2 linked regions of the Sus scrofa genome follow. The protein of the gene in region 1 purifies or fractionates together with the protein of each later gene. This does not show direct contact. Links are inferred from orthologs where the notes say so. Each region holds a gene or a part of one and is shown on either strand. Other genes may lie near its edges. The genes, in order: GNB1 and PFDN5.

What was found.
Region 2: the proteins of GNB1 (region 1) and PFDN5 purify together in Homo sapiens (co-immunoprecipitation; 3 studies listed by BioGRID and IntAct, with this or other methods). This does not show direct contact. The link is inferred for Sus scrofa from reciprocal best matches to the Homo sapiens genes GNB1 and PFDN5.

The regions. Positions count from the first base shown.
Region 1 is NC_010448.4:63,866,577-63,870,736, reverse strand, and holds the end of GNB1 (guanine nucleotide-binding protein G(I)/G(S)/G(T) subunit beta-1), read left to right. Parts: intron 1-337; coding exon 338-554; intron 555-1,548; coding exon 1,549-1,655; 3' UTR 1,656-1,664; intron 1,665-1,865; exon of another isoform or gene 1,866-1,868; 3' UTR 1,869-3,549; downstream 3,550-4,160. Other genes in the region: uncharacterized protein LOC110261347, read right to left, coding at 3,550-3,907. UniProt on the Homo sapiens protein: Guanine nucleotide-binding proteins (G proteins) are involved as a modulator or transducer in various transmembrane signaling systems.
Region 2 is NC_010447.5:18,511,127-18,515,595, forward strand, and holds the start of PFDN5 (prefoldin subunit 5), read left to right. Parts: upstream 1-1,510; 5' UTR 1,511-1,592; coding exon 1,593-1,664; intron 1,665-1,870; coding exon 1,871-1,973; intron 1,974-2,278; coding exon 2,279-2,310; intron 2,311-3,812; coding exon 3,813-3,887; intron 3,888-4,003; coding exon 4,004-4,109; intron 4,110-4,469. UniProt on the Homo sapiens protein: Binds specifically to cytosolic chaperonin (c-CPN) and transfers target proteins to it. Binds to nascent polypeptide chain and promotes folding in an environment in which there are many competing pathways for nonnative proteins.

The sequences.
Region 1 (4,160 bases):
CAGCAGCCCTCGCTGTGTGGTGGCGGTTGGGGCGTCGCCGTCAAAGGAGCCTCCCTCCTGGCCCCTGACCGAGGGGCCTGGTGGTCGGCCTTCCTTCCTGAGGTCAGCCAGCCAGCCTGTGGTGCCCGCGGAGGCCCGGCCTCGGGGACAAGTGCAGTCTTCCTGTGCCCTCGGAGAAAACGAGGGGTGGTGGACGGTGGGCTTGGGGAGGAAGGCACACCTGCCCACCGCTCTGTGCAGGTCCCTGCCCTGGGCCTGCCTGCCCGCGGGACCCAGCCCTGCCTCCAGGCTCGCCTGGCGTGCGCATGCCCACTTTCCGTGTGTGCGTTCTCCGCAGTTCTTTCCCAACGGCAACGCCTTTGCCACTGGCTCGGACGACGCCACCTGCAGGCTGTTCGACCTCCGCGCGGATCAGGAGCTCATGACCTACTCCCACGACAACATCATCTGCGGGATCACCTCCGTCTCCTTCTCCAAGAGCGGGCGCCTCCTCCTCGCTGGGTACGACGACTTCAACTGCAACGTCTGGGACGCCCTCAAGGCCGACAGGGCAGGTAGGTGGCTGCCGGGGCCTCCCCGGCCTCCGGGGCACTCAGGCGGGGTCTCCCAGAGGCACAGGATCTCCTGACACGTGGCCAGCAGAGGGGTGGTGGCAGGGCCAGCCTTGCTCCCTCCTTCCCGTCGTTCGTGTTGGGGCACGAATCCAGGCAGGCATCCCCCGCCGTGCCCGCCAAAGCAGAGCCCAGTAGAGGCAGGCGGGGGGCCGTTGACGCGTGTATTCGGGGGCAGGTTGTGCGGAAGGTGGTCCCAGGGCTGAGGAGGGACCCTGGGGCCAGAAGTTGAACGGCGGCTCTTAGCCGGCAGTGCTTGCAAGGGTGGAGGGCCAGAGCGGGGCTCCCGCCTGTGGCTGCCCCTCTGTGTCGAGCCCCCACCGGTCCCCCAGCCCCTGCACCAACACTGGTGAGCGTGCAAGGTGGGCAGGGCCCCCTGAGGTTCCAGGCCTCAGATTCCCCCTGCCCAGGTGATTACCCACCAGGCTGCCGCGCGCAACTGCGGACCCGTCTCACGTTGGGGTTGCCGCGGGCATCACTCTGGCCTGATGCTCCCCCGAGATGGGGTGGTGTGGATTTTTTCTCTTGTGCTTCTGCTGTTTTTATTGAAGCTGTTGACTGCTGTGAGTGCTCAGGAGTCCGCGCAGGAGGCCCTGGGCTCTGGGACTGTCTGTGCCTTTCAGTCGTGTGGTCACACACACACTCCCAGCCGCTCTGCCCTGTCTCCCTTCTGTCTGAGGGCTTCCCCGGCCCTGGGCGCGTCCCCGTCCCCCCGTCCCCCCCCCCCGTTCCCCCCCCCGCCCCCGTGCGAGAGGAGCACAGCGGCCTCGCTGGCCTTGGCGGGAGTTGCAGGAGGCACCCCGTCCCTCCCCACCCGCCTCACCAGGCTTTCTCCGTCCTCATGTCCTTGCCCGGCCACTGCGCACTGCAGACTGGCCCCGGGGGCTCTGGGGCTGCCACCCCGGGCCCTCGGGCGACTGCTAGGGTTTGCTCTCAGGTGTCTTGGCTGGGCATGACAACCGCGTCAGCTGCCTGGGGGTGACGGACGATGGGATGGCCGTGGCGACGGGATCCTGGGACAGCTTCCTTAAGATCTGGAACTAACGCCAGCAGGTACCGCGCGGCCAGGCGCCCTCTGCATGCGGCTCTGTGTTTCTCGTGAGCCGGTGCAGTCGGGGTTCAGGGTTCCTCGATGAGCTCTGATGCGGGGGTTTTGGAATCCGATGCGGGGTGAGGGCAGCATTCGGAGCCGTGGTGAGGACGGAGCTGCACGTGGGGGTCTGTTTCTTTTCACATCTCTAACTCTGTTTAAAGCAGCAGGTGGACGCCGCGGGGACTGGGAGGCCCTTCCAGCCTGGGAGCGTCACGGTGATAGCATTTCCCACCCACCCACTAACGCGGACGCCCTGCACCCCCTCCGGACTTCCAAAGGGCAAGATCTTCTCCCTTCACTATTGCCGAAACCAAGAGCACAATTCCCACTGAGAGCAGAGCCTCCGTGCTGTAAACTAAGCAAATCGTGTGCATTCCTGCGGGACCACTGTTCTTGTTTCTTCCTGTTCCTTTGTGTTTTTTTTTGTCCTGAATGAATTGAAAAGGAAATACAATAATAAAAACATTAACCAGAAGGTAAACTTGAGTGTAATTGTGAGACAGACACACCTTTTCACTCATTTCTTTGGAGTCAAGATGAGTGACCCTGTTTTGTGATGTTTAGGCAGAACCGGCTGGGGCCGCATCTTGTAATGGACTCTGAACTGCAGATGGTGTTTGTAACAGGATTTTGCAAACCTTCGCATTTCTTTCTTAACATATATTCCTTTCTGTTCCGTAGTTAAACAGAGAAAGAGGGTCTAGCGCAGCCTCTCTGCCATTGTTAACGATGTACATTTAGTCCCTAGATTTTTTACTTGGCGTCTAGTGTCACGTGATGATTGCGCACGAACACGGCCGAGGAGGAGGAGGAGGAGGAGGATGCTGAGAAGCCGAGGCTCTCACGCTCTGCGGACGCCCGTCAGGCACCTCTTCGTCCCGCCCGGCCGGCCCGGCCCTCTCTGCCCTCTAGCTCAGCTTTTAGTCTCACCTGGGGTCTCCTGGCGACAGTGGGGGCATCGAACAGGAGCGCATCATGACCCCGAGTCCCACCGCAGCCGTCAGGAGTCTGTTTGCCAGAGAGGTGCCCGTCTGTGCTTGGATAGTCGGTCCGTTATCTGTGTATGAAGCAGTGTACAAATTAATGTTTTGAAAATAATGATCTCAAACTTTCTAAGTTAAATTTTAAAAAAGTTGATTGTTTGCCATATTGGGTGGGTTTACTCTTAGAATCGCATGCTGTAGAAATGCTCAAAAGTGCATACAGGACTCAGTCCTTAGATGTTCCTTTTCTTTTAAGAAATAACCTCTTGAAAATTGTAACCGTTGCAGCTCTGTCCACTTAGCGCTGCTCCTCTGTGCACACGCATCGCATCGGAAGCCGCGCAGTTAGCGGTTCCACACGCTCAAGCAGCGGGATAAGTCACTGTTTTCTTTCTTTCTTTAAAAATCAAGTCCTGTTCCAAGCGATTGCTGTCGGATTGGGGCGGGGAGTGCGGGGATCGAGACCTCAGCCTCACGCTGTGAGTTCTGCACGGCCTGGCCCTCCCTGGGAACCAGCCTCTGGCATCTGAGGCCAACCCTTTCTAACAAGCGGACCTCCCTGGTTTGGGGTCGGGCCCAGGATTGAGCAGCAGCGTCTGGACAGCGGCCGGCCTCCCCCTGCACCCAAGCGCTCCCGCAGCAGCAGCAGCAGCTTCTCCATCCTGTGTTTGCAACATCCTGTGCAAACTGCTGGCGCGGTTGGCCTGGGCCTGCAGCGGGTGGGACGCGCCCCTCCCCTGTCGGCGCCTCCTCCGTAGAGCTCTCTGCACCCTGCCCTTCTCCTTTTGTATTTAATTTTTAAGTCCGTGTACTGCCAGGAAGCTGGATGCGAGATAGATCCTATATCCAACTGTACTGTTATTTAAGATGTAATAAAGCAGTTTGACATGAGGGACTTTGCTGTGGCTGCTCGTTTGTGGGGCCGCTTCAGTTCCTGGAGGTTGTCGCCCTCCCCCGGTGGCCCCGTCCAATCGCGCGGCAGTGCCTCGGCCAGCCCTCCTCTCATCCCGCCTCCCTGGCCGTGCCCAGGGCAGTGGAGTCTCCCCCGTGTCCCACCTACCTTCCCCTCCCTGAGCCTGCGCCCCCACTGGTGGTGTGTCCTTCCTCTTCCGCCCTGAGACGCTGTGGCCGTTCCTCCAGGGACAGGCATCCCACCCTGTGCCAGGGCCACGTCTTGGTCTCCAGAGAAGAACTGTACAGCCTTGTAAGAGGAAGAGCATCTGCCAGCACGCGTGAGAAACAGAAACTTCAGTGTGTGTGACGAGGGCCCTGTGCCCCCTCTTCGTGACCCCAGGGAGTGGGGGAAGCGAGGGTCCTCCTGGCTCTGTCCGCAGGGGAGGGCCGGCGGGGTCAGCACGTCTGCAGGGGTCTCCTGGGTGCTCCTGCCAGGACTCACAGCCTGAACAGTGGGCTCGCCTGGCTTCAGCCTCTTCCCCCACTTGCCTCTGGAACCATCCCGTTCCTTGCAAGTTT
Region 2 (4,469 bases), on another chromosome or scaffold:
CAGTGTTGCTGTTGAGTCGCAATGTAGCTTGCAGGTGTGGCTCAGCTGTGGCTACAGCTTTTCCATTATGCTGCAAGTGCGGACCTAAAAAAAAAGACAAAAAAAAAAAGAGCGAGAGAGAGTCTTGGCCAGGTACTCTGATGTCTATCCTGTGTTCCTGCCCTCCAGAATCTGGGGAGTGACACTAGCTGTAATGCCTCAGTTGTCCTGTCCCCTTTCTAACTGGATGCTAGAGGCTGCTGTTCTCCCCACATACAACTGTTAAAGCTGTCAGTGCTATACACTTTAGCAGTATTCCTCACTTCTAGCACATGGTAACACTATTGAGTAACAAACCTGTTGCTGTGTTTGTTGGTTGATGAGGTACCTCCTTTGTGTTCTCTCCACCCACTCATCTCCACTCCATCTCTAGTCCCGCTTCATCTGCCCAAAGCCTCCTTTTACGACCAGAGAACTTAACAAGCTTCTTCCTTCCTTGCCAGTTGTCACTAGGGTTTATATCACCCACATGGTTTACTTTTTTTTTTTTTTGGTCTTTTTGGGGGCGCACCCGCAGCATTTGGAGGTTCCCAGGCTAAGGGTCAAATTGGAGCTGTAGCTGCGGACCACAGCCACAGTAACGTGGGATCCCAGCCGCGTCTGAGACCTACACCACAGCTCACAGGCAATGCTGGATCTTTAACCCGCTGAGCGAGACCAGGGAGCGAACCAGCGTCCTCATAGATGCTAGCCAGACTCGTTTCTGCTGAGCCACGACGGGAACTCTTTTTAAGATTCTTAAATTCAGGAGTTCCCGTCGTGGCGCAGTGGTTAACGAATCCGACTAGGAACCGTGAGGTTGCGGGTTCGGTCCCTGCCCTTGCTCAGTGGGTTAACGATCCGGCGTTGCCGTGAGCTGTGGTGTAGGTTGCAGACGCGGCTCGGATCCCGCGTTGCTGTGGCTCTGGCGTAGGCCGGTGGCTACAGCTCCGATTCAACCCCTAGCCTGGGAACCTCCATGTGCCGCGGGGAGCGGCCCAAGAAATAGCAACAACAACAACAATAACAACAACAACAACAACAAAAAGACAAAAAAAAAAAAGATTCTTAAATTCACAGGAATCCTGTTTGCTGCAACTTGTCGACGCTAGGCTTGGGATGTTTTGTGTAATGAAAGCGCTCCTGGGAGTTCCTATCGTGGCTCAGCGATAAGGAACCGGACTAGTATCCATGAGGTTGCGGGCTCGATCCCAGTCCTTATTTAAGTGGGTTAAGAATCGGCCGTTGCAGTGAGCTGTGGTGTAGGTCGCAGACACAGCTCGGATCCCGCGCTGCTGTGGCTTAAGCCGGTAGCTGCAGTTCCAGTTCGACCCCCAGCTTACGAACCTCCATATGCCTCCAGTTCGGTCTTTAAAAAAGAAAGCGCCGCTGTCTCTTCCACTCCAACGCAAGTAAATCACAGAGAAGACCCAGCTCTTCCTCCGCTCCCGGACGGAAGACCATAGAGATGTCGGGGGCAGCGAGGCCTCCCGGCGTAGCCATCGAGAGGCGCAGAGGACGGCTAGAGCGTTGCTCACCCGGCGGCTTCCGCTTCGTTAGTCCTCCTTCCCAACATGGCGCAGTCGGTTAACATTACCGAGCTGAATCTGCCGCAGCTGGAAATGCTCAAGAACCAGCTGGACCAGGTGGGAATAGGCCCCCAAAGACACCCCTTTCCACCTCACTTCCTTCCCGCCACGCGTACTCCCTCGCTCCCCATTCTTCCCCAGCCGAGGGAGGAGGTTTCCCTTCCCAGGCAAAACCCCGACTCGGTCCCAGCACCCGCCCCTTCCCGGCGGTGCCCTCCTCTCCCACCAGCCCCCGTACTAACCCTCATTCCTCTTCTCTCTAGGAAGTGGAGTTCTTGTCCACGTCCATTGCCCAGCTCAAGGTGGTACAGACCAAGTATGTGGAAGCCAAGGACTGTCTGAACGTGCTGAACAAGAGCAACGAGGGTATGCGGTAGGCGCGTGAAGGCAAGCTGGGGGTTGGGGCGAGCCGGCTTTTCCTCTCTCTTCCTTATCCAGTTGTCCTTATCTGAGACGAGAGAACGGTCCTTTACGTATTGCATACTGCTGCAGGAGCCCTTTGCATGTTGCCTTGGTAGACTTGAAATGTACAGGACATTCTTCTCCTGTTGCCCCTATTTCCATACTTATCGCACAGTCTCTGGGCGCTGTGCGGTGCTGAAACTCCCTTGAACGTGTAAAGGCTGGAGAAGTCCACCTTCCCTACATGTCTGTCTTAATTGCTTTCACAGGGAAAGAATTACTCGTCCCACTGACGAGTTCTGTATCCTTTCTGCAGGAACTGTTTCCCCGCCCACTCCTTTTCTCCTTCACCCCCTACCCTGCAAAAAAGGGCAGAGGTTCTAATTGCTCCAGAGATTCTGAGAATACTCAGTACACACTTCGTAGCTCTGCTATCTCATTGGAGCCAACATCCAGCTAATGTTTGGTGAGCACCAAGGTGTATGTAGAATTGAGGTGTGATTTTTTTCCTTCGCTGTTTGAGGATATAATCTAATAGGGAGATAAAACTGGTGGTTTACACTTTTGACTTGTTTTTTGGGTTCTTTTGCCTCACCCGCAGCATGTGGAAGTTCCGGGGCCAGGGATTGAATCTGAGCCACCTCAGAGACAACACTGGGTCTTTAACCTGCTGCACCGCAGCAGGAGCTCCCTACCCTTTTTACTAATAACTTAGAAAACAGAAGCAGTGGAAGAAGAGAGGATATAGAGACAAGGGGGTTGGCTCTGTTTATTAATCTTCAATTTTAGTTTAATTGTGGATCTTATTTCTAATCCGTTGTTACTGAGAAGCCTGGATTGTGTCTATCTGTTGAGTGTTTTACTTGAATGAGCCAATTGTGTTAACAGGGCACCTATAAACTGCACCTGAGAATTGATAGGCTGAAAAAGAAACACAGGAATAGCCGCATAGTAGGGACTGCTTAGATAAGGAACATTAAATCTATTGGGAATGACCTACTTCATGGTTGGGAGTGTTAAAGGAGAAATGAGGCTGGCTTTTCACTTTTACTATTTAACAGCATCAGGAAAAATCATTCCAGGAGTTCCCATTGTGGCGCAGCAGAAACAATCCACTACTAACCCTGGCCTCCCTCGCTGGGTTGGGGATCTGGTGTTGCCGTGAGCTGTGGTGTAGGCTGGCAGCTGCAGCTCCGAATCAACCCCTAGCCTAGGATCTTCCATATGCTGCAGGTGTGGCCCTAAAAAGAAAAAAGAAACACTGCATCTAGTCTTTATGGAGTTCCCATCATGACTCAGTGGTTGATGAATCCGACTAGGAACCATGAGGTTGCGGATTTGATCCCTGGCCTTGCTCAGTGGGTTAAGGATTCGGCGTGGCCGTGAGCTGTGGTGTAGGTTGCAGACCCGGCTCGGATCCCGCGTTGCTGTGGCTCTGGCATAGGCCGGTGGCTACAGCTCCGATTTGACCCCTAGCCTGGGAACCTCCATATGCCGCGGGTGCAGCCCTAAAAAAGACAATAAAAAAAGCCATCTAGTCTTTCTGGAAGGGCTAATGGGAAGAACTCTAAGAACTTCTTGGAGGGTGGCAGTGAGATCAGGGCAAGATCAGCATGTGTAATTTTCTCCATAAGGAACCAACTTCCCTGTGTCTCCCCTTTGGAGTGTGTAGGCCTCCAGATTATCTGATCCCGGTACCTTTTAAGTTTTTAGAAAAAGGGGTTCTTAGGAGGTCAAGCAGATGAGCCGACAGGAAATCAGGACTCATGCTGGGCTAGTTTTCCCTTAATCCTCGCTTCTCAGATGTACGTCCCTGGGAAGTTGCATGATGTGGAACATGTGCTCATCGATGTGGGAACTGGCTACTATGTAGAGAAGGTGAGTGGAAGGAAGCGTATGGATGCCCCGCTGAGGAGGCAGAGGGAGTTTAGGGAGAGATCCAGAGTGCACAAAGAGGTCTCCTCTTAGCCCCTCCTTCACCTCTGACCTTCCAGACAGCTGAAGATGCCAAGGACTTCTTCAAGAGGAAGATAGACTTCCTCACCAAGCAAATGGAGAAAATCCAGCCAGCTCTGCAGGAGAAGCATGCCATGAAACAGGGTAAGCTTGGCCTTGGGCACCTCTTCACCATTTCTACCTCCATAATAATCAAGAACATGAATTGCAGCGTGAACCATGGCGGGTGTCCCCTTTGTTGGATTAAAACCATGGTTTTCTCTTTGGTGTCTTGATGTATTATTCTTTAGATGCTGTGCATCACATATCCGCTATTTCTAGATTCCTGGGTTCAGTGCTTGAGAAATTTAGAGAAAGGAAATCCCATCTGTGTTTTTGTGTTTGAGATCCTATTTAATGTAGATGGAATAGGGAAAAAGATGCATGTAAATGAACACACAGGAAAGAAATAAAGCCCTAACTAGCTATCTACTGGCAAGTAAAGCTTTGGCTGTACCTGGAGAA